Callithrix jacchus: one gene and its partners. The main gene of each other region encodes a partner of the protein of the gene in region 2 in a complex. Links are inferred from orthologs where the notes say so. Each region holds a gene or a part of one and is shown on either strand. Other genes may lie near its edges. The genes, in order: GNAT3, RHO and GNAT1.

The links.
Region 1: the proteins of RHO (region 2) and GNAT3 are in contact, whole or in part, in a crystal structure (PDB 4A4M), measured with the Bos taurus proteins. The link is inferred for Callithrix jacchus from reciprocal best matches to the Homo sapiens genes RHO and GNAT3. Residues at the interface, in NP_001014890.1 of Bos taurus: Leu72, Arg135, Val138, Val139, Lys141, Thr229, Val230, Ala233, Thr242, Thr243, Lys245, Ala246, Glu249, Val250, Asn310, Lys311, Gln312; in NP_001103452.1 of Bos taurus: Ile344, Asn347, Leu348, Lys349, Asp350, Cys351, Gly352, Leu353, Phe354.
Region 3: the proteins of RHO (region 2) and GNAT1 are in contact, whole or in part, in a cryo-EM structure (PDB 6OYA), measured with the Bos taurus proteins. The link is inferred for Callithrix jacchus from reciprocal best matches to the Homo sapiens genes RHO and GNAT1. Residues at the interface, in NP_001014890.1 of Bos taurus: Leu72, Arg135, Val138, Val139, Lys141, Ser144, Asn145, Phe146, Arg147, Val230, Ala233, Gln236, Gln237, Ser240, Thr242, Thr243, Lys245, Ala246, Glu249, Val250, Met253, Met257, Asn310, Lys311, Gln312; in NP_851365.1 of Bos taurus: Ala27, Arg28, Asp189, Leu190, Val312, Glu314, Tyr316, Asp333, Ala334, Asp337, Ile340, Lys341, Asn343, Leu344, Lys345, Asp346, Cys347, Gly348, Leu349, Phe350.

What each region holds. Positions count from the first base shown.
Region 1 is NC_133512.1:69,414,278-69,424,275, forward strand, and holds the start of GNAT3 (guanine nucleotide-binding protein G(t) subunit alpha-3), read left to right. Parts: upstream 1-4,697; 5' UTR 4,698-4,753; coding exon 4,754-4,943; intron 4,944-9,998. UniProt on the Homo sapiens protein: Guanine nucleotide-binding protein (G protein) alpha subunit playing a prominent role in bitter and sweet taste transduction as well as in umami (monosodium glutamate, monopotassium glutamate, and inosine monophosphate) taste transduction.
Region 2 is NC_133516.1:72,617,469-72,627,779, reverse strand, and holds the start of RHO (rhodopsin), read left to right. Parts: upstream 1-4,728; 5' UTR 4,729-4,830; coding exon 4,831-5,191; intron 5,192-6,963; coding exon 6,964-7,132; intron 7,133-8,323; coding exon 8,324-8,489; intron 8,490-8,598; coding exon 8,599-8,838; intron 8,839-9,665; coding exon 9,666-9,776; 3' UTR 9,777-10,311. UniProt on the Homo sapiens protein: Photoreceptor required for image-forming vision at low light intensity. Required for photoreceptor cell viability after birth.
Region 3 is NC_133516.1:32,778,000-32,788,313, reverse strand, and holds GNAT1 (guanine nucleotide-binding protein G(t) subunit alpha-1), read right to left. Parts: upstream 6,850-10,314; 5' UTR 6,735-6,849; coding exon 6,629-6,734; intron 5,789-6,628; exon of another isoform or gene 5,479-5,788; intron 5,328-5,478; coding exon 5,285-5,327; intron 5,196-5,284; coding exon 5,054-5,195; intron 4,955-5,053; coding exon 4,797-4,954; intron 4,714-4,796; coding exon 4,585-4,713; intron 4,366-4,584; coding exon 4,236-4,365; intron 3,964-4,235; coding exon 3,810-3,963; intron 3,698-3,809; coding exon 3,507-3,697; 3' UTR 3,506-3,506; intron 3,171-3,505; exon of another isoform or gene 2,138-3,170; 3' UTR 1,910-2,137; downstream 1-1,909. Other genes in the region: SEMA3F (semaphorin-3F), read right to left, coding at 9,380-9,790. UniProt on the Homo sapiens protein: Functions as a signal transducer for the rod photoreceptor RHO. Required for normal RHO-mediated light perception by the retina.

The DNA of each region.
Region 1 (9,998 bases), on a different chromosome or scaffold from region 2:
TAATCAATATACTTATAATATAATTTTAAAAAGTATTAAAACCATATTCAATGGCCAATGAAATTATACCTCTTGATGTTTAATATATTGTGTTTATCTGTAAACATTTATTTCTTTAATATTTACAGTGATTTATAAAAGGTTATAAATTGCTAAAGGCTCAGATGATTATTAGCATTTTTAACAATAAAGTATTTTTTGTTAAGGTATGCATATTGCCTTTTAGACACAAGGCTATTGCATACTTAATAGACTACAGTTTAATATAAACATAATTTCTCTGTGCCCTGGGAAACTAAAACATTTGTGTGACTCACTTTACTGTGATATTCACTTTATTGCGGTAATCTGAGACAGAATCTGCAATATCCTTGAGGTCAGCCTGTGCTTGGGAAATACATCTGGACAGTTAGATTGTGCTAACTATATTATTGAGTACATGGCATCAGGAGTAAAACAGGAGGAAGCAGCAAATATAGAAACATTTGTTTTTTCTAGCCAGAAAAGAGTAATAATTAAACTTGCCTTTGAGGTAATTTAGCCTGGCACAATCAGACAGATTGGACTGGGTTAGAGTGGAGCCCAGAATAAAGAAACCTAAGTGAGAGGCTACTGCAATAATCAGGGCTGAAATCGCTGAGAAATATGATTATGGGAGTTAGTAACAGAAATGTGTTAAAGAGCAATATTTTAAAACTCATAAAAGAGACAATTTGACACAAGAAAACGCACCCTGGAAACAACTGTGACTCTCATCCAATAATCATATGTAAAATTCTGTCCTAATTCATAAAAACATGTGGAAAGGTAGAAATCAACTTCAATGAATAAAAATACACATTTATGTCACCTATTAATATATAAAAGCTGTTTAATTTGGCAATGTAAACTTATTGCACCATCTGAATGTACTAACTTGAAAGAGTGAGGTTTGCTTTATTCCCTCAAAGTCAAAAGATTGCTCTTAGGAAGCCCCAAAAGGCATGAACTCTCTAGAAGAAATACTATGCTTGGAGCTCCCTGAAGTGCACATTTGAGTACCATTAGCCAAGGAGAGATGGTTTGCCTCAACTTTCATGGGAATATACAAGGATAAAGGGCATTGCTAAGGCAGCCATGACTCAAACCACCTAAGGATACAATGCCTGAAATCAACACCTCCTATAAGATTGGAAACAAAATAAAGAGTAACACAGATAACAGCCTGTTTTGGCAATTTCCAGCAGGAGCTGAGCCAATGAGACATCCCTAAGCTGTAACATCCCCAAGCTGTAACATCCCCAACTCATTGAAGTGAGCCACATGTAACATCTCCACGAGAAATTCAGCTTGATGACTGTAGAAACACAGGCAATATTGGCAAGAGTCATCTCCAAAAACATGGATTGAAATCTGGTTATTAAAAGCAGGTAGCAAATAACTGCATGTCACTTCAAGCTGTATGTTTAATCATCAATGTAAAATAGTGATTACTCAAACTTTTTAAAGGCTACTGTTCCTCTCTGAAGATTCCACAGAGATCCTAACCAAAAACAGCAAGAGAAAATTTATTCTCATCGTCCATGCTTGTGGTATTTCAGTGACTTTTGGAGCTTAAGTGTGGTTCACTCTCTGTATTTGTTCTCAAATCAATATTACTGTGACACAATAAAGAAGCAATGTTCTTAAACATTGTTTATAAACATTATACAAACATTTTTCTAAAAGACCACAGCACTCCAACACAATCTCTTGCTCTTCCTGTGTGTGCATGGGCTTGTGCATGCGTGTCTTTGTGTGCAAGTGTGTGTATACAGGATAATCATCTCTCATAGCTGGAACATATATTAAGTTAGTGCAAAAGTAATTGCAGTCTTTGTAATTACTTTTGTACCAACCTTATATATGTGTGTTTGTGTGTGTGTGTGTGTGTGTGTACGTATATGTGCATAAAACTCTAACATGATGTTGGTGTTTTGGCTAGCGTCACATTTCTTGTTTCCAAGAACAAACAAAATTTATGGTCACAGCATGAAATTTAGTTCTTTTTTTCTGTTGTCCTCTTTTATCAGTTTTCTGTCATCATGGAACAGGGTTTAATGATCGAAAAGAAGCATGTTGCTATTAGTTTTAAGACTGAGGAACCAAATGTGTGACTGTTGGACTAATAGCTACAATTGTACATCCTGATACTATTTAAAACTAAAATTGGGCTTTTTATTGATTTTTTTTTAGTCACTCTAAAATTTTAGAAAAAAAATCCTAACCATACGGTCACTAAGCACTAGAAAAAAAAAGGACTCCAGGCCTTTATCAATTTGTTAGCAAGAAATAATTTTGGATTAGTACTGTGCCATATATCCTATAGACCATTCAAGCTAGGAAGATATTATCGGCCAGGCACAGTGGCTCAATCCTGTAATCCCAGCACTTTGGGAGGCCGAGGCGGGTGGATCACGAGGTCAAGAGATCAAGACCATCCTGGTCAACATGGTGAAACCCCGTCTCTACTAAAAATACAAAAAATTAGCTGGGCATGGTGGCATGTGCTTGTAATCCCAGCTACTCAGGAGGCTGAGGCAGGAGAATTGGCTGAACCCAGGAGGCGGAGGTTGCGGTGAGCCAAGACCGCGCCATTGCACTCCAGCCTGGGTAACAAGAGCGAAATTCCATCTCAAAAAAAAGAGATATTATCACCACTCCAGAGGAGTTCACTATTTTGATTTTCCTCACTTCTTTATGTATAGAAAGTTATATGCCTAAGTGAAGCAATATGAACTAACAGCTGTATTAAGCCCAACTCATTAATGATGCTGTGTCCCAGGCATCCAGGGGAGAAGTCTGAGAAAGGAGTCTTTTTCTCTCTAGCTCTCCCTCTCTGTAACACAGACATAACTAGAATTTCATGTCAAGAATACTTTAATCACTGATGAAAAATATAACATGACAATTTCATAAAGTTGATGAACATTACTGGTTACAACAGAAAAGTAGAATTTCATCGTTTTATACAGTGCAGAAAATATATACTTCTACTCCTGAAAGAGTTGGCCAGTTTTAGTTAGTGATCCAATGAGGAAGCCTTAGTAAAACACATATGTTCTTAAAACCAGGGTATATCTCTGCCAAAAAGCTATGAGGTATATTTATACTTGAATGCAAATTATATGATGTAGCCTGTCAGTTCATTGCTGCTATGGAACATGCAAGAATTCTGTTTATTATTATATTCAAATTCTTTATAAAAGCAATAGGCAAAAGGAGATTAAATGTGCTAAACATTGCTTTCAGCTTGGACTTTGTGTTCACAGGTGAGCAGTAGGCAGTAGAAATCTCCTTCCTTTGGGACAGGCTCTTTGCATTGTAAAAGCAACACCACATCATTTGCACAAATCCTTGTCTACCTACCATTGCACATCTTCATACTATCATAATATGGCTTTGGAGGAATGGAACTCAGGAAGTTTTGACTATGTTTATATATCTTCAGCCTAATATTTTTAATGTGGCAAAAGTAAACAAAGCAGGAATATGTATTTAATCTGACAGCCTATTTTCTTATTGTATGAATATGTAAAAACCCACCTGTTCAAACTTTGCACATGATCCCACAAGAAGAGCGGCACTGACAGGTGGATGGATGGACTGTATTCGAGCATTTTCTGGTTAAACACATTCACAAATCCCAAAATGCACATTGAAAGACTTATCTGCTGCCACAGGCATCCAACTCGATTTATAAGGAAAATATTGATTGACTACCTACCAAGTGCTTTATGCTTCATGTAAATAAAAAATTGTGCTGCATCATCTCTGCCCTCAATCCTGAATATTTACAAGAAGTACATGGTATCTTTTGGAGTAGCTGAAGGATATGGAACATATTTGGGTGTAATTACTGTTTTTAGTTTGTAGGAAAAATCAAATTACCTGCTGTTTCAAAGAACATTGGTTTTTATTCCCTTGGTACAAAATCAATAAAAGTCCCTCCAGCACAGCGGCTATTGCTTAATGGCCCTAAAGAGTTAATGTGCTGCCTAAATTGAACACAGTTCAGTGTCTACACCAAGTGGGCCCTCAATTAGTGTTTATGGATTGACTTTCTCACAGGCGGTAAAAGCTCAGTTTATAGAGATGGATCCTATGAGACTAAAATCAATAATTTAAGAAAATTGCGTTGAATTCTTTATTTGTAGCAATATATTATGTACAGATATAAAAACTATATGTATTTGTATCCCTTGTTGAAAACAATATTTTTTGTTCACTGACAGATGCTAATAGATGCTCAGTAGCCTTAAATAATAATCTAAGCATAGGAGACCATAAAAGTTGGATAACTTAATGTATATATTCTGATTGTGATATAGGACTGACTATAAATAAATCAAAGATCCAAATATCTGAAAATGGGATGCAAGCATCACTGATTAGTAATAACTTTTAATCACAGTAATAAAAATTCCCCTGTAATGAGAAACATTCTATTTGAATTGCTTATTGTAGATCATCTCTAGTGTATAGAATCTGACAACTTTCTACATTATTTTATACTATTCTTTAAGGCAGATAAGCATATTTTCAAAGATGTGCCCAAATCAGTCGTTTAATTTGCAAGCATAATGAATTTCCTCTTTAGCCTCCATGAGGGTGGTATGGTTTTACCACTTGATCAGCTGACAGATGAGAAAGCATCTTCTTAGTCAAAGCAGAATCTTAGAGCCCTAGGGAATGGACTGCTGGGTACTTCAGGAGAGCATTGCTCTTGCATCCTATGTCCAAACCACAGCTGTGCTCAGCATTTGAAGTTGGAACAAATAAACCGACACGTATCTACTACCACAAGATGGGAAGTGGAATTAGTTCAGAGAGCAAGGAGTCAGCCAAAAGATCGAAAGAACTGGAGAAAAAGCTTCAGGAGGATGCTGAGCGAGATGCAAGAACTGTAAAGCTGCTCCTATTAGGTAATTTCTTTTCCCTTTTGCTCTCAAAAACCTGACTTTTTTTTAACTGGGATACATTTACTTTTCTCAAACTTTAATTTTGAGTGTATTATCATGTGGGAAATTTATTATGAAAATGTATTTGGAAACTTAAGCAGATTTACTAGCACTTTATCAATATTTAATAATTTTTCTGTTTAGTGTTTTATTACATGTTTTTTCGTTAGCAAAGAGGTAAATATTTATCAGCTAATTTCTCTGTCAATAATATGATTTACTATTAATAAAAGAAAAATCAGATATATTTACTTTATTACATTCTAATTATTTTCTGAATGTCAGCCTTTTAATACTGAAAGCAATCCTTTAATTAAAAGTCATAAGGAGTTACATTATTTTGTTTAAACAGAAATATGTTGAGTTGTTTGATGCTGAAGTTGATGTTAGTAATTTACTTGTGTTGTTAAAATCAATTAGTCAAGTTATTTAGAGAGTAATGATAAGGTACTTTAAATTATATTGATACTATTACTTAGGCTCCTTAATACTGCCTGTGACATTACTTGTATGCTTGAAAAATACTCTATCTAAATCCTTTTGGTGCAATTATATATTCATTCAGGTCAGTATTTATGTCTCTTTTATATTTTTCCTTTCCTCAAAACTCAACACAGTGTTTTACTTTGACTCTAAATTCAATAATGTTCAATTAATTGAAAAAATAAAAATAACCTGTATGCAGATTTTTTTCTATAAAGCATAAAATATTTTATATGAAGAATAAACATTTTACATGCAGTTGTCACTGAAACACAAATATGGTTTTGAAATAAAATAATGACCTCTATAAAGAAGAATACAAAATAAGTGCTTAATTCTGATTGAATTATAGTAAGTTGTACGTTCTCCCTGATTTTGATTATACATAAAAGGACTTCATTTTATTTCAGAATTGTGCATACTTCACATAACAAATTTCCTCATATTTCAAGTATTTAAACACTTAAATACTTAATAATATAAAATGCATTAAATTCTTAAATTTATTTAAGTATTCCTTCATTGTGTCTAATTTGCTCTCAGTAGCAAGAGTGTTTCAGACGCCAACTGTGGGATTCCCAGCTCTTGCCCCTTACACAGGTTCTGTGCCTGCACACAGGCCCACAGCACTTGTCAATAACCATCCAGATGTCGGTGACTTAGAAAGATGTGGGTTATGTGCTTACGACACCAGGAAATATATGCTTCCTAACACATCAGAGAATTCTGTTAGTTTCTGATCAGACTGAAAGTAATATGGACATAGGAAAAGCAAATGAAAGGTGAAAGAGAAAGACAAGCATTCCTACAAATGCATTTTTATATTCCTCTTATACTAAGATCAATGGAATAAGAATGGTGATAAAATGCATTCAAAATCCCCATATTTAAATAACATTTCAATAGATGTGTGTTTTTAATATACCAAATGTCTGTTTTTTATATATTCTCTTATTTTGTAAAATTGCAAATGGAAAACCAAAAAAAATGAAAGGGCTAATATCACAATTTAGATTAAGATAAAAACTATTAAACATGCTAAAAGCAATTACTCTTGAGATAAGCATATCAGAGCAGCCAGTCAACTGGAGATTCAGTTGTAATGGAAAACAACAAGGAAGAGTGGTGGTTTCTAGGGGCTAGGGTGGTTGGGGCGAACAAGGGGAAATGGAGTTGTTGCTTAAAGATTTTAAAAAAATCACAGTTAAATAGGAGGAATAAATTTCAAGAGATCTATTGTACAGCAAGGTGACTATAGTTAATTATGATATAGTGTATTCTTGAAAAATGTAAAGAGAGTGGGTGTTATGTGCATTTATCACAAAAATGATAACTGTGAAGTAATACATTTGTTAATTAGCAAGATTTAACCATTCTACAGTGTATTTGTACTTTAACATACCATGTTGTACACAATAGAAGCATGCAATGTTGTCGATTAAGAAAATAAAAATGTTTAAAAAGAATACGTATAGATGACTAAAAATAGATTATTGAAAATTGAATCAAAAAGGGTTAATGGAACATGGACAAAAGGAAGATTCTTTTTTTTAATTTGGAACTGAAAATCAACAGACTACTGATAAAGATGGGCTTCCAGAATTAGTAAATTTCACAACTCCACAGAGCCATTGACTGAGACCCAACTTATTGTATGCAATGCTATCAAATGAAAAATAAATTATATAAATTATGTATAGACTTAAGTGGTGGTTAAATCAAGAAGAAAGAGCAACATTTGTACCAGAAGTATAAAAGAATAATTAGTGGGACTCTTATATGTTTTACTTTCCCAACGTGATTACAATTTTATACATTTAGTTTCATCATTACTAAGTAAAATATTTGGATTTATTTGGTTCTAACAGTATGTGCCCTAAACCCCTTTGTCACATTTTATTTATACAAAATAAATTAAATTCTCTTAAGTTGTTTATATTTCAATTATATTACAAACAATTGACTAAGTTTCCATTCTGGATTTCATCTGAATACTATATATGATAATATAGTTATCAAATTCCTAACAGTCATATAACTCTACTTCATTCTCATATTTTTGGACTGAATTCAAATTCTCAAAACTATAATTTTTATATTCAAGGTGACCTCATTAAGACATTAGAAAAGTGTTCAGTTGAACGAAACCAAAGCTTTCCACTCTCCCACCTCAAATCTCCTCACCAGTGAAATCTATTTAATTTTCCCATCATTGAAATGGTGCTCTCATTCATCAGTGTGATCTGGATAAGTTTTAAGTTTCACAATGAGTGTATGTCACATGGGGCTAATCAGTTTAAACTTAGTAGTGACCAAACCAAGTCAATAACTACATTTACAAAAATAAGAAATCTAAAACCACTTTTGACAGACTTTTTTTCTGTATGTTGATCTTCATCTAATGAATTTCTAGAAGCTTTCAGCATAACAGCAACTTTCCAAATTTAACATGTACTGTAAAGCAATTGTAACCATTTGGTATCATCGAACACAAGATTTCACTGAGTCTGAAGAGCTATCAAAGTGCTACTTTACAATTAAAGGATCATCTCACAGACAGATGCCTTTTTATTACACTTTTTAGACCTTCAGTAAAATCATGGAACAGATGCCAAATCTGTGTTTTATTTTAGCAAAAAGTAGGCTTTTAGAAAACACTGGTGATGATTCATACCTTGCTGAGCACAATAGATAACTGCAATCAAGACAATCATGTCATATGCTTTTTAAAAAATTCACTTGCAAAGATATTCCAGAAAGAGCACATTAAAAAAAAAAACAAACTCTAATGAATATTCTCATTTTTATCTAAATTCATTTTGAAAGTTTTATCAATGTTTCATTCAATGGTATTTTATTCAAAATAATACCTATTATTTAATTGTAAACTCAATACGGGCCATGTTTCCATTTTTCTTTTCTCTTCTCTTCATGCTTATTGTGTCAAATTTCAGTCTGAGTTGATTTTGCTGCATCAGTTTCCTTTGTGTTTTGGCAAATTTTCATCACATGGGTTGTTTAGATTTAAAACACCATGGAAAGTATAGGGAAACAACTAGCCTTCCTTCTTCTTCATATTCAAAACACCCTGTGCTATAAATAATTAACATTTATTCTACAATTTTTCACTTTCAGCTAGTAATTTCGAAGAATACCATGGAAAATTTATCATAGATTTTTTTTTCGTTTTAAAATATTTTATTTCTAATTTTTCTTTGTGCTACATTGTAAGCACCATACTATTATTATTTTAATGATGTCATCTGAGCTTTACTGTTTGAAAATACTATTCCACCAATCTGGCTTTTAGAAACATGAATAGGGATGGAGTCTAGAGATCAAAAACTATTTTCAAATGTAGTATATTTATTATAGCTAACATTTTCAAACTTTTCAAATGGTTTCACTTATTCAACAAATAGACATTTTGGAAGGTACGTAGTAGGAGACTTATAATGATTTTGACGCTATCTAAAGGCTTGGTACAAAATAATTGGTAAAATAAAACTTACACAACAGAATAAACTAAATAGGTTTAACCACAGAGCAGAATGAGGAGAATACAATTTAATACTAGAACAGAATGTGTTTTTAAACCATCTGAGTTAGAAATTGATTTATTAATATCTTCATCCAGTATAATGTTTTTATACTTCCCAGAGTGACCATAGGCTAGCCACATAAACTCAGAGAAATAATGGATGCCAAGTGTTTTGTAACTTGTAAAGATCTAGACAAATGTGGTTTATTCTTTGGCATAATAGATTCCCAAATCTGAAAAAATTAAAACTCAATAAATGTGTATCATTATTCTTAGTTTGTCTTTTTTTTACATGTAACTAAGAGAACTGAGGACTCAATACTTGGGTTAAATTTAAGTGACTATTTTTATTCTATGTGTGCTTTTTAATAGGTCTTTTTTTTTTTTTTAATTATCCCTAGATATGAGTGGGAGAGATTCCAGGAAACTAGAGTTGTTTCTGAGTTACTGATTAGATTATAAGTTCATCAACTCTTAATTTTATTACACTAACACAGCCCATGCCTGTCTATGGATAGGAGCAGATAAACACATTCTTTGGAATAATTACATTAGGATTAACCAGTAAGTCTCCTTCTGACCACTGGTAATAAAAGAAGAATCTTCTTAACATGTAAAATGTATTCCCAATGGTATTTTCAACATTTTGTTTTGTTTTGTTTATTCAAATTAAAACCAGTTTTTCCTTCCTCCAACAAGAGTACATTTTTATTTTAAACGTATTTATAAACATTATAAAATAATTTATTTTTGTATGGCATAATGGTTACAGTTAATGACATTATATTGTATTCTTGAAAAATGCTGAGAGTGAATAAGTGTTCTCACCGCAAAAATAACTATGTAGGGTAATGCATATGTTAATTAGCTAGATTTAACTGTTTCAAAATGTATATATATTTCAAAACATCAAGTTGTACACAACAAATACGTATTATTTTCTCTGCCAACTTAAATAAATTATTTATTTATTTATTTTATGTTTGTAGAGGTGT
Region 2 (10,311 bases):
GGAGGCAGAGGGCAATGGCTCAGAAAGCCCCCCACACTCCAGCTTGGCCAACACCCACACCATGGGTTTCTCTGGACTGCCTGACACAAGGTTTGGGTGCTGGCCAGGCCTGTGTTCAAATTCCAGCTCTGCAGAGGAACTTTGACCCTGTGTGCTCCAGATTCCTCAGTGGTCAGTGGGGAGTGAGACGCTCTTCACAGCGGGCAGGAGGAGTTGTCCATTCATTCGACAAATGTTTATTGAACACCTCCTGTGGGTTGTGAGCTCAGAGGCAGTGATGAACAGGCCAGGGTGGTCCTGCATTCTAGAAAGAGATGGGAGGTCAGTCAATAAGAAGACAAATGAGGCCAGGTACAGTGGCACACCTTTAGACCCAGTTACTCAGGAGGCTGAGGTAGGAGGATCACTTGAACCTAGGGCAGGAATTCAAGGCTGCGGTAAGCTATGATTGTATCCCTGCATTCCAGCCTGGGCAACAGAGCAAGACTCATCTCTAAAAAACATTTAAAAATTACAGCCTCCCAAGTGGCTCCCAAGGCAGGAGGATCACTTGAGCCTGGGAGTTAGAGACCAGCTTGAACAATATACGGAGACCCCATCTCTACAAAAATGAAAATAAATTAGCGAGGCCAGGCATGGTGGCACAGGCCAATGGTCCTAGATATTCAGGGGTTGAAGTGGTGGACTGTTTGAGCCCAGGAGGTTGAGGCTGCAGTGAGCCAAGATTGTGCCACTGACATCCAACCCAAGTAACACGGCAATACCCTGTCTCAAAAAGGACAGGCCAGGAGCCACCGCACCTGGCCTATAACTCACACCACGCCTGTAACTCCAGCACTTTGGGAGGTCGAGGTGAATGGATTACTTGAGATCAGGAGTTAGAGACCAACCTGGCTAACATGGCAAAATCCTGTCTGTACTAAAAATATAAAAATTAGCCAGGTGTGGTGACACACGCCTGTCGTCCCAGCTACTTGGGAGGCTAAGGCAGGAGTTCCACTTGAACCTGGGAAGAGGAGGTTGCAGTGAGCTGAGATCACACCACTGCACTCCAGCCTGGGCAACAGAGCAAGACCCTGTCGCAAAACAACGACCAAACCTGGTGGGGGTGCCTGGTGTGTAAGATGGTCAGGGGCGGTCTCCCCAAGGACATGAGTGGAAACAGAGACCTGAAGGAGACTCAGGAAGAGATTAATACTGTCAGCAACAAACATATTGATCACTTACAAGCACTCTCAATAATCCTATTAGGTAGGTGCTCTTGTCATTCCCATTTTACAGAGTGGAGAACCAAAGCACACTCTCGGGAGGGTCGGGGAGCTGGCTGCACTCAGGCTGTGTAGCTTCAGTCCAGATGTAAGGGTGGGTGGAAAAGAGTCTTGCCTGATGAGGGAGAACAGTGAAACCAAGGCTGTAGGGTCCAGAGATTAGTAAGCCAGGCTCTCATGGGGAAAGCAAGTGACTTTTACTGTATAGCTGGGTGTGCCCCCCACCCCACACTGAGGCTCTCTTGTCCCAGCAAACTGAGGCCCAGAGAGGCGAAGCAAGACTACCGTGATAACTCAAAGACCAGCTAGAATCCAGCCTCCTCTCCTCAAGGCTTCCATTGCCCCACCCCAGGCCTGTGTCACTCAGTCCAGGGCCTTTCCATTACCCCAGCTAAACCTTTCTTTAGTTGTTTATACCATGGTGTGAATGGCTGGCTGGTCTTTCCTGAGAGCTGTGTTTGATGATGGGAGGGAGGAATAAGCAGGTTTGGGAAGCTGTTACCCTATGAAGCCAGGTTGGCTGTGCCGGTTATAGCCCAGGCTGTCGCTGATTTGTTACAGGACCTGAACAACCCTGCAGACCTAAGCCTCAGTCTTTTCATTTGCAAAATGAATGTAGCAGAGACGGTCAGAGTAGGTGACTTCAAATGACCCTTCCAGCTTACTGTGAGCCTGTTACCCTGAACAAAGAGCATTTTTTATTTAAAAAAAATTTCTTGGGCTGGGCACAGTGGCTCACGTATATAATTTCAGCACTTTGGGAGGCTGAGGAGGGTGGATCACTTGAGCCGGGAGTTCGAGACCAGCCTGGGCAACATAGTGAGACCCCATCTCTACAAAAAATACAAAAATTAGTGGTGTGCACTTGTGGTCCCAGCTACTCGGGAGGCTGAGGTGAGAGTATCTCATGAGGACAGGAAGCAGAGGCTGCAGTGGGCTATGATTGCGCCACTGTGCTCCAGCCTGAGTGACAGAGTGAGACCTTGTCTCAAAATTTTTTTTCTTTCTCAAGCTTTACAAATACAGAGCACTGCCATGTCAGTGATGGCTCTTATTTCCTCATCACCAGGACTCCATGAGATTGAGATTGTGAAACTCACAAGAGAGGAAACTGAGACAGAGAGCGGAAGAACTGGGATCATCAGGTCCATTCCCCCACTCACTCCCTCATTCAACAAATATTCAGGGAGCACCTTCTAGGTGCCAGGCTCTGGAGGCATGTCAGTGAACAAAACAGCCAACATCCCACCTCTTTCCACCACAGGCCAGGTGCCATGCTGGGCTCTGGGAACCCTGTTGTGAACAAGACAGACCCAGGCCCACCCTTGTGGACTCACGTTGCAGGCAGGGAGACCGGCACAAAACTCATGCACAGAACACAAAAGGCTTCATGCTGTCAGAAGCACCAGGCAACAGGCAAGGCGCCAAGGTGCTGCTAAGCTGTGTAGGGCAGGGGCTCAGCCCTTCCAGGGAGGGGCCGGGTGTGGGTCAGTCTTGACCCAAGGCATCCAGGACACCCTCCTTCTGGCCATGAGGGTCCACATCAGAATCAAACTCCCACCTTAACCTCATTAGCGTTGGGCATAATCACCAGGCCAAACACCTTAAACTCCAGGAGGTCCCATCCCACCCGCCCTGCCTCAGCACTGCCACGTGTGCCAAGCCCTGTTAGACCCAACACTGCCCAGGCCAGGCAGGGGGCTAGAGCCCAGGTGGGCTGCAGGGAAGGGGGCACCCTTCTGAACAGACAGATCTAGGAATCCTGGGTGAGAGAGAGATTAAGGGACACTTTCCTGGCCTCAGGGCTCTGCACTCGCAGGGGTCCCTCTGCCCGGATGACCTTCCCCTGAAGCTTCCGCCTGTTGTTCCGGCTCTCCACTCAAGCTCCAGCTTCTCAGAGAAGCCTCCTGTGTTGGGAGTGGCTGTGACTGAACTGTCCTCACTCTTACTCGCTCCATTATTCTTTTGTGGTCCCTGTGTCCCCACCCCCACAGAAACACTGGCTTCTTATGGGGAAGGGAGCTTGCTCTTTTGTGTCCCCCGAGTGGAGACTCAGGGGGGACACAAGCACCTTGTCTGGGCCACAGTAGGTGCTCAGTACACATGCTGGCTGGACGGTGGTCACTGAGTGTTCGAACATCAGGCACTCTCAGCACCTGCACAGGCCACCCTGGCCACCCCACTTCATTCCTAGGAGGTGACATCGTGTTCCTTGGATAGCTTGAAGAGGGAGATCTACCTCCATTTGCCCCCAGGCCATCTGCCCCCAAGGCTCTGACTACTTTCTTTCCCACAGTGCATCCTGCTGTCCTGGAACCAGCCCTCATGGGGCCACCTGGCACATGGCATCTGAGACCCTCGTGGTTGACCAGACCTTCCCTAACAGGACCCTGTCTGCTGCCTCCAGGATGGGCCTCCCCTTCAGACTGGAGTCCCTGAGGGGCTCTGTCTCTCCCCTGCTCTGGTAGCCCCCTCCATCCTCCCTCCCTCCACTTTAGCTTTGGAGACATTTGAGTCACCTTTCTACCCCAGAGATCTGCCCAAGCCACTGCCCACTTCCCTCTGGATAAAGCCATGTTACTCGACTTGCTGTTCAAGACCCATCACAACTGCCCCCAGCCCGGGTCTTCCTCACCCGGCCACCTGGCAAACTGCTCCTTCTCCCAAAGGCCCAAACATGGCCTCCTGGGCTGCATTCCCCCAGGCAGTCAGACCCATCTCCACAACCTCACAGACACCCTGGGCGGAATCTGCTTCTTCCCAGTTCTGAGTCCTCCTCAGCCCCTGAGCTACTCTGGGCAGGTCTGTTTCTTTTCCATCTTTGTATTCCCAGGGGCCCACAGATAAATGTTTAATGAACAAACTCACAGAGTGAATTCCAATTCCATGCAACAATGATTGGGCTTCTGGGCCCCAGGCCATCTGTCTGGCACCAGGAACGGAAGCTGGAAGATGCAACCCCTGCCCTCGTGGAGCTCCTCTTGCAGGAGGAGTGTGGGGACTGGATGTGCCCAGAGGGAACAAACAGGTTAGGGGCTGTATAACGAGATGAGAGACTGGGAGAATAAACCCAAGAGCCTCTAGCTGTCCAGAAACTCTCAGTCCAGTCCAGACAAAGATCCGAAGTCAGCTCATATTAAGCCAGGAAAAATGGCACAGAGGCCCATGGTCCCCATTTCAGACCAAGGCCACCAGACTGAGTTGGGACCTTGGGACAGACAAGTCACATAGAAGTTAGGGGCCTTCTCCTCCCTTGCCCAAGGTCCTGAGTACCTCCCCTCCCTGACCTCAGGCTTCCTCCTGGTGTCACCTTGGACCTCTGGGAAGCCAATTAGGCCCTCCATTTCTGCAGCGGGGATTAATATGATTATGAACACCCCAATCTCTCAGATGCTGATTCAGCCAGGAGCTTAGGAGGGGGAGGTCACTTTATAAGGGTCTGCGGGGGGTGGGGGGGGTCAGAGCCCGGAGTCATCCAGCCGGAGCCCTGAGTGGCTGAGCTCAGGCCTTTGCAGCATTCTTGGGTGGGAGCAGCCGTGGGGCAACCACAAGGGCCACAGTCATGAATGGCACTGAAGGCCCTAACTTCTACGTGCCCTTCTCCAACGCGACGGGCGTGGTGCGCAGCCCCTTCGAGTACCCTCAGTACTACCTGGCAGAGCCATGGCAGTTCTCCATGCTGGCCGCCTACATGTTCCTGCTGATTGTGCTGGGCTTCCCCATCAACTTCCTCACGCTCTACGTCACCGTCCAGCACAAGAAGCTGCGCACGCCTCTCAACTACATCCTGCTCAACCTGGCCGTGGCTGACCTCTTCATGGTCTTCGGTGGCTTCACCACCACTCTCTACACCTCTCTGCATGGATACTTCATCTTCGGGCCCACAGGATGCAATGCGGAGGGCTTCTTTGCCACCCTGGGCGGTATGAGCCGGGTGCGGGTGGGGTGTGCAGGAGCCCGGGAGCATGGAGGGGTCTGGGACAGTCCCAGGCTTGGCGGTGGTGGCTGAGAGGACTTCTCTCTTCTCCTCTCCTGTCAGCATTATCTGAAGCCCTCATATATTCAGTCAACAAACACCGTTTCGTGGTGATATCTGGGCAATTTGTGCAGGGCTGGCACTGAACACTGCCTTGATCTTATTTGGAGCAAGGCGCTCGTCTCATTTCACAGCAAGGAAACTGAGCTGAGGCTCAAAGAAGTCGAGCGCCCTGCTGGGGGTCACACAGGGATGGAGCTGAGTTTGAAGCTCGCATCTGTGTTGCTCCTTGGGCCATGTTCGGAACACCAAGCCTCTGTTTCCCTCGGAGCAGCTGGGCTGGGTCAGACCCAGGCTGGGCACCAAGGGGAGAGCTGGGCAAGCCAGACACCTCCTTTCTGGGGGCCCCAGCCCGGGGCAGGAAGCGGATTCTCCATCCTCCGGTCATTGGGTCTTCCCTGTGCTGGGCGTTGGGCCGGTCCCCTCTGGCATCCTCTGCCTCTCCTCCCAGCCTCCTGTCCTTGGGTGCCCCTCCAGCCTCCCTGCCGTGCTCCTGGGCTCCTGGTGTTAAGAGCTGCACGCCGCCCCTCTGAAGCAACTCCTTTCACAGGTGATATGTGGCTGTGAAAGATGCTTTAGAATAATGTTTTGCTTTTAACAGGAAAATAAACGGGGGTGCTGCAGAGATAACAGATCTCACTTAACAGAGGGGAAAACTGAGGCAGGAGAGGGGAAGAGACTAATTTTGGGATGTGGCTGGGCAGCAGCAAGAGCCTAGGTCTTGGCACTGATCCAGGAATGTGTCCGCTGAGATGCAGGAGGAGACACTCATGGCAGCCATTGCAAAGCCAGGGTGACAGGGAGAGCTTAGCGCCAGCCACAAGCGTGGCTCTGCCAGCCTTGCCCCCTGGCCCCATGTCCAGGCAGCATCCTTGGCCCCACTCTCAGGGACTCTCTGGCCATTGTTGGGTGTTTAGTACATTCAATAATCAGAGATCGCCCAGTTCTGGCCAGAAGGTGGGGGTGCCACAAAGGGTGATTTTCCTCTGCAGGGTCAGTCCCAGTTTATAATTATCGTCCCATTCACTGTCAGGAGTGGTTGGTAAACTATATGGCCACTCTCCCTGTGGAACTTCGTGGGGTGGTGAGCAGGGCAGATGTCTGAATGCCATCGTTTCCTTCTTCTTCCTCTGTGCAAAACATTGCCTGATGCTTCATGGTTCCTAGGAGAGGGTCCCACATGCCCTGCATTATTTCATCTCCCGAGAGGGGAGAGGGAGGAAGGACCCCAACTCTGGGTTTCAGCCACCTCTGCATTCCTTCCCAACAAGGAACTCTGCCTCACACTTAAATGCATTCTTCTGTTAAAACACACACACACACACACACACACACACACACACACACACACCCCACCCTACCGGGTTCCCAGTCCAGTCATGACCTACTGATCTGATTCGTGTCTCTCATGCATCCAGAGCTCTAAGCAAATAACTTCCCCCATTCACTGAGTTTCTTTGCCCAGCTCCCCTCAGTGTGGGGTCCCTCTGCCCCTTCCTCCTCCTCCCAGTATCAAGCTCTCTCCTTCCTCAAGGGCTCTTCAGGGCCCTCTCTCGCTCCAGGTTGCTTTCCTAGCTACCCTCTCCTTGTCTAGGGGTAGTGCGCCCTCCTTAGACAGGCAGTGGGGTCAATGCTGACCGCCTGCTGGCTGCCTTGCAGGTGAAATTGCCCTGTGGTCCTTGGTGGTCCTGGCCATCGAGCGGTATGTGGTGGTGTGTAAGCCCATGAGCAACTTCCGCTTCGGGGAGAACCATGCCATCATGGGCGTTGCCTTCACCTGGGTCATGGCCCTGGCCTGCGCCGCACCGCCCCTCGCCGGCTGGTCCAGGTAATGGCATTGGGCAGAAGGGAAGGGGCTCCAGGGGCTCTCTGTAGGGTCCTCCAGTCAGGACTCAAACACAGTGCTGTCTGGTTCCAGACACTGACCTTGTAATGTCTTCTGGCCCAAATGCCCACCCAGGGTAGGGTGTAGGACAGAAGGAGGAACAGACTCTAAAGCTGCTGAAGGGCTGGTCCCACCTCCTGAGCTCCAAGTCAAAGAGAATCCAAGACATCCCAAGCCTTCACCTTGGCTGTGCCCCTAATCCTCAGCTAAGCCAGGCGCAAATTCCAATCCTCTTTGGTCTAGTGCCCCGGGAGCAGCCCCCTCTAACCTTGGGCCTCAGCAGTGGGGGAGGCCACGCCTTCCTAGTGCAGGTGGCCATATTGTGGCCCCTGGGAACTGGGTCCCATTTGGCCTCTAGGCAATTCCAAATGGGGCTGAGATGAGACACAGCGGGGACGGTGGTTTGGACATCAGGACTGGTGACTGGTCCCCAGAGGCCTCGTGTCCCTCTGCCTCCAGAAAATTCCCACTCTCACTTCCCTTTTCTCCTCAGACTGGCTAGGGTCCATTTCTTACCCCTTGCTGAATCTCAGCCCACCCCCTGGACTTTTTCCCCATCTTCTCCAGTCTGGCCTAGTTCCATCCTCTGGAATCACAGCCATTGGACGCTCTGGGTTTCCTGAGGCCATTTCACTGCCACCAACATCAGGAACCATTGCCACGTCCTAACCATGTGCCCTGGGAGCCTCTTGTTTCCAGAAGCTGCACAGAGATCCCTTAGATACCCTGTGTGTCTGTCTTTGGCCTGGAAAATACTCTCACCCTGGTGCTAGTTTGTACAAACTGCCGCAAATACAGAGCCTGAGGGCTCTCCCCTCGTCCTCACCAACCTCTGCCTGGCATAGCCTGAGGCTCAGCAGGCAGCGGATGCTGAGGCAGGGCACGCAGGGAGAGGCTAGGTCATGTCATCTGGTACCGCAGCCACCAAACAATGAAGCGACACTGATTCCACAAGGTGCATCTGCATCCCCACCGGATGCAGTCCATCCTGTCACCCAGCCACGCAGACCTTTATGATCCCCTTTCCAGGGAGGGAACAGGAAGCCCCAGAGAGGGCCAGTGCTTGGCAGGCACCTTGGCCGGGGCCATTCCCAAGTCCCTCACAGGCAAGGTCTCCCTACCTGCCTGTCTCAGGTACATCCCTGAGGGCCTGCAGTGCTCATGTGGAATCGACTACTACACGCTCAAGCCGGAGGTCAACAACGAGTCCTTTGTCATCTACATGTTCGTGGTCCACTTCACCATCCCCATGATTGTCATCTTCTTCTGCTATGGGCAGCTTGTCTTCACCGTCAAGGAGGTACGGGCTGGGGGTGGGTGGCCTCTGAGCGTCCAGCCCCCAACGCACATCTACAGCTCCTGCTCCTCGGAGGAGCCATGGTCTGGACCCGGGTCCCGTGTCCCTGCAGGCCGCCGCCCAGCAGCAGGAGTCGGCCACCACACAGAAGGCGGAGAAGGAGGTCACCCGGATGGTCATCATCATGGTCATCGCTTTCCTGATCTGCTGGGTGCCCTATGCCAGCGTGGCATTCTACATCTTCACACACCAGGGCTCCAACTTCGGTCCCATCTTCATGACCATCCCAGCGTTCTTCGCCAAGAGCGCCGCCATCTACAACCCTGTCATCTATATCATGATGAACAAGCAGGTGCCTACTGCGGGTGGGAGGGCCCCAGTGCCCCAGGCCACGGGCACTGCCTGCTAAGGATAAGCTATGTGCCAGGGCAGGGGAGGGGGCTCCATCAGGGCTACTGGCAGTGGGGCTCACGGGTCAGCAGTGTCAATGGGGAGCGTGTGAGAAATGCAGGTTCCTGGACCCCACCCAGACCTGCTGAATCTCAGGGTGGGCCCAGGAACCTGCATCACCAGCAAGCCCTCCAGGTGCCTCGGATCCTCACTCAGGTGTCAGAAGCTCCAGTCCAGATGGTTCTGGAAGCCTGATGTCAACGTCAGCAGGTCCCAGGCCGAGAATGGGATGGGCCAGTCTCCATAAAGCTGAATAAGGAGCTAAAAAATCTTATTCTGAAGGGTAAAGGGATAAGGCAGTCCCATAACAAAGAGCAAGTGGTTTCCCCGAGGAACCCAGAAGGGGGGAAACAGTCTCTGAAGTCAGCTCTGCCATTTTCCAGCTTGTGGCGCTGGGCAAGTCAGTTCCCCTCTCTGGGCCTTGGTTTCCTCATCCATAGAAAGGGCAAAACACCAAACTCTCAGATTACAGGAGAGAATTTGCAGCACACCCTTGGCACGCAGAGGGCACCATGAAATGTTGAGGGTGATGCAGTCCCCTATTGCTCGGTCCCTGGCATCTCTACGGGTGGGGAGTGTCTGCTTAGCAAGTTCCCTCCAGGAGGCCGGATTTGAGTGGAACTGTGAGGGGCACAAGCCGGGAAAGGGTTGGGGCAAACCTCACCAACGTGCCAGTTCCAAGCGCACTGTGGGCAGCCCCGGTCCTAACTCAGGCCTCTTGCCTTTCAGTTCCGGAACTGCATGCTCACCACCATCTGCTGCGGCAAGAACCCACTGGGTGACGATGAGGCCTCCGCCACCGTGTCCAAGACGGAGACCAGCCAGGTGGCCCCGGCCTAAGACCTGCCAAGGACTCTGTGGCTGACCGTAGGCGTCTCCCATCCCCCACACTCTCCCCCAGCCACAGCCATCCCACCAGGAGCAGCGACTGTGCAGAATGAACGAAGTCACATAGGCTCCTTAATTTTTTTTTTTTTTTGAGAAATAATTCATGAGAGAAAAATGAGGTTTCTCACTCACCCGGGATGGCCTGAGAAGGGACATCCACGAAAACCTACTGATCTGGAGTCCCAGGTTCCCCAAGGCCAGTGGGATCTGTGCCCCTTCTCCTCCCAACTCATCTTTCAGGAACACGAGGGAAATCTTGCTTTCTGGAAAAATGTCCCAGTTTAGGGCTAAGTGTCTTGCACACAATGGAGCACACATAGGTGCTTAATAAATGCTAGATGGATGCAGGAAGGAATGGAGGAATGAATGAAGGAATGAATGGGAAGGGAGAACGTATCTGTCCTCTCAGACCCTCTTAGCAGCAGCAGCTCACACTTGGCTCATGATTTGGAGCAGTTGTTCTTCCCTCCCTGGGCCTCACTTTCTT
Region 3 (10,314 bases), about 40 Mb from region 2:
ATTTCTGTATATACACCCAAAATAATAGAAAACAGAGGTTGGTGGTGGGAGAGATATTTGTACACCCATGTTCATAGCAGCATTATTCACAATAACCAAAAGGCAGAAGCACTATTCATCAATAGATGAATGAATAAACAAAATGTGGAATATATACAATGGAATATTATTCAGCCTTAAAAAGGAAGAAGATTCTGGCCAGGCGTGGTGGCTCAAACCTGTGATCCCAGCACTTTGGGAGGATGATATGGGCAGATCACGAGGTTGGGAGTTTGAGACCAGCCTGGCCAACATGGTGAAACCCTGTCTCTACTAAAAACACAAAAATTAGCTGGGCATTGTGGTGGGCACCTGTAATCCAGCTACTTGGGAGGCTGAGACAGGAGAATCGCTTGAACCCAGGAGGCGGAGGTTGCAGTGAGCGGAGATTGCGCCACTGCACTCTAGCCTGGGCAACAGACCAAGACTCCGTCTCAAATAAATAAATTAATTAAATTAAATAAATTAGAAAAAAAAGGGAAGGAGATTTTGACACATGCTACATAGGGATAAACCTTGAAGACACGATGCTAAGTGAAATAAGCCTGTCACAAAAAGACAAAGACTACAGGGATCCACACATCTGAGGCACTTAGAGCAGTCACATTCACAGAGACAGAAAGTAGAATGGTGGGCGCCAGGAGCCAGGGGAAGGTAGGGATCGGGGGGTTATTGTTTCATAGGCACAGAGTTTCCATTTTACAAGAGGAAAGGCGTTCTGGAGATGAACAGCTATGGTGGTTTTACAACATTATGAATGTACTTAACACGGCCAAACTGTACACTGGCAAGTGGTTAAGATAGTAAACTTTTTGATACAAGTACTTTTAAAACTGGCACCAAAAAAAACCCTTAAAACATACATAGCAACAAATAGTTTCCTTTTGCTCCAAGCCCCAATATGTCTTAGCATGCCTCGCATGCCTCTGTTGGATACTCTGTTGGATTTTGATTTTGATATTTTGTTCTTTGGGGTTTTGCATTCATTTCGACTTTTTTTTTTTTTTTTTTTTTTTTTTTTTTTTTTAGATGGAGTTTCGCTCTTGTTACCCAGGCTGGAGTGCAACGGCGCGATCTCGGCTCACCACAACCTCCGCCTCCTGGGTTCAGGCAATTCCTCTGCCTCAGCCTCCTGAGTAGCTGGGATTACAGACACGTGCCACCATGCCCAGCTAATTTTTTGTATTTTTAGTAGAGACGGGGTTTCACCATGTTGACCAGGATGGTCTCGATCTGTTGAACTCGTGATCCACCTGCCTCAGCCTCCCAAAGTGCTGGGATTACAGGCTTGAGCTACCGCACCCGGCCTCATTTCGACTTTTAAAAAATATTATGCTAATGTTATTTATCTTGGTTACTAAATTTTTTGGCATTGCCTTAAATTTTGCACCCGAGGTGAGTGTGCCTCAACTTGCCTCACCCTAATCCCAGCCCTGCAATTATGGTCCTGCTTCAAGGGCTTTCAAAACTCTCCATCACCTTCTGAGAAAGCCCAGGGCCTCCAACTGGCTTTGGGCACCTGTCCACATCTCTCCCTCCCTGCTCTTGCTCCACTGAATGCCTGTGGCTGTGAGCTCATGTTTCTAGGGTTGGTATCTACTACTGTCCCTGCCAGAATGAGCCTCCACCTTGAAACTCCCTTTTGATCCAAGACTGTCCCTGTGAAACTTTTCCAAAACTCCTCTCTCCTCAACCCGTCAAGAGCCATGAATTGGTCCCATAACCCCAAGAGTGCCCCACCTTGTCAGACAAGGCACTTCTTCCCGGGAGAGGCCATCTTCCCACTTCACGCCCAGCCCAGCACTGGGCACTTAATAAATGCCCATGACTTGTGATAATTAAGCCCTCCACCAAGAAAGGACAGCTGGGGCTGGATGCAAAGGTTTATTGCTGAGTGTGTGCGTCTAGCTGAGGGAGTGTAAATTGTGCCCCAGCCTTACCAGATGGAAGCTCCTTGTCCCCGACTGCAGCACAGGCCCTAGCCCGTGGGCATAAACAAAGATTTGGTGCTGAAGAAGGAGGGAGCAGGGATGTGGGGACATGGGCCTTTGTCCCTGATAGTTCAGCCATGGCTCTCAGCTTCCCGGGGAAGGGAACCCTGAATGGAGGGAGGAAGAGAAGCTTCGGGCAGGGATAAGAGGGTCACCTGGGCTTGCTTGTAACCCCACCTGAGGTAGACCCTTTTGGGCACAGCCAGGGCCTTTGTCCTATCCTGAGTCCTCTGTCTGGGCTGATCGATGGGAGCTGGACTCTGTCCCCAGCCACCCCTCTGGACAGCCCTGTTATTGGCCATAGTTGGTGTCAACAGTACCCTCCCTTAACAGACCATCCTGTTGTCCAGTCAGCCGGGGGTACTATGTGTGTGTGGGGAAGTGGCATGTGGATCTGGCATCCAAGGACCTCTGTCTAAGGATCTGGTGTCCAATGAGCAGATTCTGCTGGAGGAGGGGCTGGGGGTTGCTCTGAACCTGGTATTTGGGGAAGGGTCCTGCTGTGCCTCACCCTGGCACCCAAGGACCCCCAGATCTGCCCCCTCCCCACTAATTTGTTTATGTGGGGACTGCACAGGCCAGAGCTAACTTGGACTCTGGACCCTTTGGAGGGTGCTGGGAGGGACAGTCACTGGTCCTGGGTAGACAGGTGCCAAACTTGTCACATGGAGGTGGCAGGGTGAGCAGCTGGCCTGTGTGTGGGAGGGATATCCCCTGTCTTTGATGAAACGCTGGGAGGGAGGGCTGTTTGCTGAGCCCAGACCCACCAGGTGAGTCGTGGGCTCCCAGGGGCAGGAGAGCTGTGGGAGATTGGTCAGTTGAGCACTGCTGAGTCATGGAAAGCTTCAGCTGCCCCAAGTCCTGCCCATTCCTAGCTGGGGCTGGCTAGTGCAGAGTCCTAGAGGCCAGTGCAGCCAGGCAGTGAAGGGCAGGGCTGGGGTTGGGGGCATGGGATGCTGGGAGACTGTGGGAGGTATGGAGAAGGGTCCGGGCCTCAAAGCTAGCAGGGCTCAGGGCTTTGATGAGGTGGCAGGCTGGGGCCCAGGAGTTCTGGGGGCTGATAGGGTCCTGAGGGCTGGGGCTGCAAGGCAGCTAGGGCTATCGGGTCTCGGGGCAAGTGACATGCATGAATTCAGGCAGCTGTGAAGAGCAAAGGAAACCAAGTCAGCATCCCTGAGACACAAAATAAACGGGTTTAGGCATTGCGTTTTGGGGGCAGCCCTGGAAGCTGAGACACCTGAGGCCTTAGGGCGGGGCCAAAAGAAATTCAATAGATGGGACCTGTGTGAGTGGGGCGGGGCCTCTGTCGGTGGAGCGGAGCCTCGGCTGTGGGTGGAGCCTGAGGTGCTGGGGTGGGGCCTGGAAGCAGTGGGCACCGGAATTTGGAGGTGAGGCGCCAGGGCGTTGGCGTGGGGTGGGGAGCAGGGGCGGAGCTGGGATATTGAGGCGAGGCGCTGGAGAGGGCCGCGACCCACCTCAGAAGAGGCCGCAGTCTTTGAGGTTCTCCTTGATAATGATGTCGGTGACAGCGTCGAAGACAAATTTGACGTTCTGCGTGTCGGTGGCGCACGTCATGTGGGAATAGATCTCCTTCACGTCGCGCCGCATGTTGAGCTCGAGGAATTGCACCTTGATGTAGTTGCCGGCGTCCTCGTAGGTGTTGGGCCCTGCGGGGGCGGGAGCTCTCACTCGGCCCAGCCCTTTCTTCCCCGCGCTGGGGGGGCGCGTGCCGCGATTAAGGGGCGGGGGCGCCGCCTGGCGGCCTTACGGGCGCCTCACCGTCGTAGTCCGGGAAGCAGATGCTGAGGTGCGCCTTCTTGATCTTCTCGGAGAAGACGTCCTTTTTGTTGAGAAAGAGCACGATGGACGTCGTGGCGAAGTAGCGGTGGTTGCAGATGCTGTTGAACAGGTGCAGGCTCTCGTGCATGCGGTTCTGAGGAGGGCAGTGGCTGTCGGGCACCAGGGTCCGCGTCCGACCCGCAACCCCTGCTCTCTGGGCTCCCGGCCCCGGCAGCGCGGGGCTTCTCGTTCAGCTGGCTCGCAGAGGGCGCCCCGCACTGCCCCAGGTGGGCCTGCTGAACGCCTCAGGCCGTCTCGGACGGGCCTCCCCTCTCAGGCCCTCCCCCAGCCCAGCGCTAGGTCTCTGCCTTCAGGGGCCAGCAGCTCCACCTAGCCCCTGGAACACAGACCCTGCCTGGCACGCACCACTTCGTCGTCCTCCACCAGCACCATGTCGTAGGCGCTCAGCGCCGCGATGAAGATGATGCAGGTCACGCCCTCGAAGCAGTGGATCCACTTCTTGCGCTCGGAGCGCTGCCCGCCCACATCGAACATCCTGCGGGGCCGCGGGGGCCTGAACCGGCGCCCCGGGCCCCCTGGGCTTGCCCGCAGGCATCCCCTCGCCCAGTGCTGGTCGGGGAGCTCTCGGCTGGGACTAGCACCCTTTTTGCTGGAGGGGTATCCAGGAAGGGGCAGGGCCTATAGCAGGGACGGGGTTCCCGGGGCGAGACCGGGCCTGGGGCAGTGACCTCCCGGGCTAGCACGCGGATCGTACCGGAAGTTGAGGTCCTTGAAGGAGAACTGCGTCTCGATGATGCCTGTGGTCTTGACTCGCGAGCGCAGTACATCTTGCTCAGTGGGCACGTAGCCTGGGGTTACTAGGCGCTCCAGATCGGAGAGATAGCTGCGCGAGACCCGGCCGCGGTGGGTGGGGAGGCGTGGAGGATTCCCCCCGCACCCCGTGCCCTGAGCTGCCCGCGCGCTCACTAGCCCGCCGAGTCGTTGAGCTGGTACTCCGAGGCGCGCTCAAAACAGGCCTGGATACCGGAGTCCTTCCACAGCCGCTGGATGATGTCCGACATCTCCTTGGGCATCGTGCCCTCCTCGATGGTGTCCGCCATGTGCATTAGCTTCCGGGCGTCGTCCTGGGGACAGGGTGAGAGTGGCTGGTGGCGGCCAGGGACAAGGGTGCAGCCGCGCGCCTTGAGTCCCCAGAGGCCCACTCAGCCCGCCTCCTGGCACACCTGGCGTGCAGAGTCTCCGTACTGGATGTTGAGTGTGGTCATGGCGCGCACGATGGCCAGGATGGACTGCAACGTGTTACCGTAGATGATGGCGATGAACTCGAGGCACTCTTCCAGCGAGTATCCGTCCTGGTGGATAATCCTGGGGTCGAGGCGATCAGGATGAGCCCCTCGTGGGCAAGTGGGGAAGGACCCAGCCCGAGGGACCTCAGGACAGGTAGGGGCACTCACTTCATCTGCTTGACGATGGTGCTCTTCCCGGATTCACCAGCACCTGAAAGGGAGGCGGCGCCTCAGAGCTGCGCTGACTGTCTGTCCCCCGCCCCTCGCAAGGAGGCCGGGAGGACGGGGCCAGCCCGAGTTGACTAGGTGTACCTGCAGCAAAGAGGCCTGGGCAACAGCCCACACCCCATAGTCACACCTACCTCCCTCCCCAACCAAAGTAAGTCCTAACACCCCGACGGCACAAGGTTTGCAAATGTCTGGAAAGTGAAGAAAGGAAGCCAACGAGGAGAATCAACGACATCAACTGGTTTGGGACAGGGGAGGCCCCAAGACCCCGGCCCAGGCAGCTTTTATTATGGTGTGAGAACACAATGAAGAAATTCCGGAGCTCCACCGCCACCTTGTGGGAGCCTCTAGTACCGCATGCACTGGGTTATTTGAGGCGGGTCAACCCCTTGCTTTTCACCTGAAGGGGTGAGGGTGTCTCCGAGAGGCTCAGATGGAATTAGCGCCTTTGGGTAAGAGGGAGGGCAGAGTTGACATCCTTTCCGAGCCTGCCCCTGCGAGGGCGTTGGGCACAGTTAATGAGATTTCTGGCTTAGCCTCTCTGCCTTGGGAGGAAGTGGGGCTGGCTTGGTCCTTCACCCACCTACAGCTGGTTGACCGGACCCTGGGGAGCATGGGTGGAGCCTGCCCTTTCCCCTTGAAAAGTCGGTGACCTTGAGGCAGGCCTGGATCAGCCCCATCTCTCCTCACTACCCATGGTCTGTTGGACACGGCTTTATCTACTCCTGCTGGGCCTCGGCACCCACCCGCCCCTCTGGCGGCTTTGTAGGTCTACCAGTCACAGCCCTTTGGCACCTGAGAGCCATTCTTTGTGGATCTGGATGGCCAAAGAGGCTCCTCACTCCCAGGAGGACTATGCCTGTCCCCTTCCCAAAGGAGCAGCCCAGTAACAGGCTCCCAGTGAGGCCCCTGGCTTCTGAGCACTGCCCAGCAGGTCCATCAAACCAAAGGCTGCAGGGAGCTTGCAGGAGCCCAGCCGCAGAAGAGTCAGCCTCACACATACCCGTACAAGAATGTGGTTGGCATACACCTCTGGGGAGGGTGGGTCACCTGAGGCAGAGCCAGCGGTCTGGAGAGGGGCTTCGTGGGATATCCAGCCTTGAGGGACTAGGACACCACCTGTCAGGCCTGGCCTTGCTTGGCCAGGGCTCCCACCCTGTGCCCTACCCTGTGACAGGTTCACACTGCTTCCCAAGGAACACTTGTTTCACAGAAGGGCTGCCTGCCTGCCTCCAGACCAATGACCTGGTGGCAATGGCCCCACCCCTGGGCTCACACCCCTACCCAGAAGCAGCAGCTTCACGGTTCGAGCATCCTTCTCAGCGTCTTCTTTCAGCTTCTTTTCCAGCTCCCTGGAGTGCTTCTCCTCAGCACTGGCCCCAGCCCCCATGGTCCAGCAGCAGGCGAAGGGACAGAGTGAGCAGGTGGTTCTTCTGGATGGAGGGGATCCCCAGAACCCAGCCTCCCAGGCACCCTTCTGGCCCCAGGAGGACCTGCAATCAACTGGCTCTCCACGGACCTGTGCAGGCCCTGGTGGGGCTGCTTAGTGGGATTTGGGGGCTGGGGGTGTCCAAGAGCCAATTAGAGACAAGGACAGGTGAATCCAGCTCAGCCCTCCCAACCCTTCTAATCAGGCTCGCATAGCCCCAATCCCTCAACAGCTGACTCTGCACCCCTGATGTCCTCCTGCCCCCTCCTGCAAGGAGAGGCCCTACCTCTGCCTAGGAGTAGGGAGACATGTTCGTAGGGGCAGGGCTGAGAAAGGGGAAGACAGACCCTTGAGCCCTGGGGGTGAGGATGATGGAGGTGGGGCTAGCAGCAAGAGGGCGTAATTGAGAGAAGCATGCCTGAACCACCTGCCTCTTGCCAGGCACTGGGCTCAGCACCACTTCTTATCTTGTTCTAAGCTCACACTGGCCCTGGAGGATGGGTGCCCATGTCATCAGCCTCATTTTACTGATGAGGAAGTAGAGGCTCAAAGGGTCACACCACAGGAAGAAGTTAAGAAGGGCTGGGTAATTCTGGACTGGGATTTTTTTTTTTTTTTTTTTAAGACAAGAGTCTTGCTCTGTTACCCAGGCTGAGTACAGTGGCACCATCTTGGCTCACTGCAACCTCCACCTCCTGGGTTCAAGCAATTCTCTGCCTCAGCCTCCTGAGTAGCTGGGAGTACAGGCACCTGCCACCATGCCTGGCTACTTTTTATAATTTTTTTTTTTTTTTTAGTAGAGACAGGGTTTCACCATCTTGGCCAGGCTGGTATTGAACTTCTGACCTCATGATTTACTCGCCTCTGCCTCCCAAAGTGCTGGGATTACAGGCATGAGCCACTGTGCCTAGCCTGGCCTGGGATTTTATGCCCTGCAGGGAATCCAGAGAGAGGGAAATGGTGGACATTGCATTCGTCCCATATCGTGGGCTGGAGTTGCTCTAAGCAGGCCTTCTGCTTCCAATGGACTCTGGTGGGCACACTCTGTGTGCTGGGTGTATGTGTCTTTTACTGCACCAAGCAAGCAATGATTTGACACATTTGTGCATGTATACCTGGGTGTACATGGGTGCCCGTGTGCATGCTTATGTATGTGTGCACATTGTATCTACCTGGCTGCCTTTTAGCACTCAACTCTGCCACAGACTCAAAAGGGGGTGCCAGGACCCCAGACACCAGGCACTAACGGCTGTCTCTAAATAGTATGTGTGGGAAGTGGATGCTGGCTCCTACAGCAGGCTGGCAGCTTCTACACCCACCCTGTTGGATGATGGACATCTGTCCAGGAGTGAGGCCATTTCATTTGTGCCACTTTCAGCCTTTGGGCTCCACCCACCCTCCCTGACCCTAAGGAGTGAGTGGGCTCTGGGGGGGTGGGGGCAGTCTTTGCAGCCCTTTACACTGCCCAAGGGTTTCTCAAACTGAATGTGGTTTCTACATGTTGGGTTTGTTTAAAGTGGGGCCAATCTACTCCCTTCCCAGCCCCCCCCACCTGGCTCCCCAGGCCCACCACATGTGGCTCTAAACCAACCCCCGACCAAGGAGAGAAGCCAAAGTCTAGTCCCAGAGCCAGTGTTTATTAGCAAGATGGAACCCAAAGGCGGCTGTGGCCTGGGCAGCAGAAAGCTGCCGGGAGCCCCCACCCATCTACCCAAATGCCCCCAGAGCTAATTACACCCATCGCTTGAAGTGGTGGACATAAGAGAACCCTGGGGAGCTTCTATTGGCCCCAGGCCTCCACCACGGACCCCCTCCCGTCAGGGCTGGGCCTCCCATCAGGCCTGCCTGGGCCTAGCCCCTCTGCTATGATCCCAGCCTCCAAGTCCAAGCGGCACAGGAAAAGCTAAGGAAGTAGAGTGGGGTGGCCCTGCCCTGGCCAGGCAGGGAGGAGAGAAGGGGCAGAAGGAGCTGCCCCACCCAGGCAGGATGCCTCTTCTCCTATCCCCAATAAATAGAGAATAAATACCCAGGAAGGGGCTGGCCATGGCTGAGTGACCCCAACCCAGGCAGGGGCTGGCATCCTGTGACGGCCCCTTCTTGCCTTCTCTGAGTGCACCTGAGCCCACCCTAGTCTCCAAAGTGGTCCTCGCATCCATGTCTATGCCACAGCACAGGCTGACAGCACACATCAAAAAAGGTGGACAGTCCAAGCCCCATTCAAGTAGGGCTTGCTTTGCTCCCTCCCATTGTCCTGTAGATCTTGGCGGAGGCTGTCGAGCAGGTAGACTTCCAGCTGAGTCTGGGGACGGTATGGTCCTGGCTTGGCCCCACCAACTGGTTGGGCCTGGTTAGGCTGGCTCTGTTTCCTGCCGTCTCTGACCAGCATGGGTCTAAGTTGTGGAGGATGCTGCTGCTGAGGCAGGCTATATTCAACCCACCAATAAATACTGTCTTTGCAGGGGCAGGGTATGTATAGAATATAGATATTTTATATATATATATATATATATATATATATATATATACACACACATATATATATATATCTTTTATATTAAAAGGGATGAGGGCTAGGCTGGCCCATGACAGGGCTCAGGCAGCTGGCCTCATGTGTCCGGAGGGTGGTGCCGGCGGTTCCGGGGCTTTTTCTGGTCCTGGGACTCAGGAGGCCGGAGTGCCCCTGGAGCCTCCCTAGGGCTGGGGGGCACATGACGCCAGTAACCTTGGCAGTACTGGTGGATGAGGCCCACTTCTGGTTGGGCCAGCAGCTGGGCCAGCTCCTGGTAAGGAGGCGTTGGGGGGCCTGTGCCTGGGGATGGCAGGGCGCTCACAGCCAGTGGTGGGAAAAGGGCAGCATGGACGGCGTCCCGGCCCAGTACATGTAGCTGCACTCGTGTGACAACGTGCTTGAAGTTGTTTTCCGTGGCTGTGCAGGAGTAGAGGCCACGATCACTGAGCTGCAAGGCACGCAGCAACAAGCCCTGCTCTGTGCGCAGGAAACGGTCCTCTGCACGAATCTGCAGGGGCAAGGAGAGGGGGTTCGGGGGTTCTGTGACCACCCCACAGCCATAGCCAGCGACCAGATCAGACCACCTTTGTGGCCATTCCGTGTAGAGGCACCCATATGGAATTTTCATATGCCAGAAAAACCCACATATAGTTTCCACACAATGAGAGCCATTTGAATAAGGCATCTGTACAGATCTCCATTTCAGGAGAGACGACCATAGGAGGTTCTATACAATGAGAAGAGTTTGAAGCGCACACAGAATTTTTTTCTTTTTTTTTTTTTTTTTGAGACAGAGTCTGGCTCTGTCACCCAGGCTAGAGTACAGCTGAATGATCTTGGCTTACTGCAGCCTCTCCCTCCCAGGCTTAAGCCATCCTCCCACCTCAGCCTCCCGAGTAGCTGGGACCACATACATGACAGTGCCTGGCTAATTTTTGTATTTTTTGGTAGAGAAAGGGTTTCACCATGTTGCCCAGGCTGGTCTCTAACTCCTGACCTCAAGTGATCTGCCTGCCTTGGCTTCCCAAAATG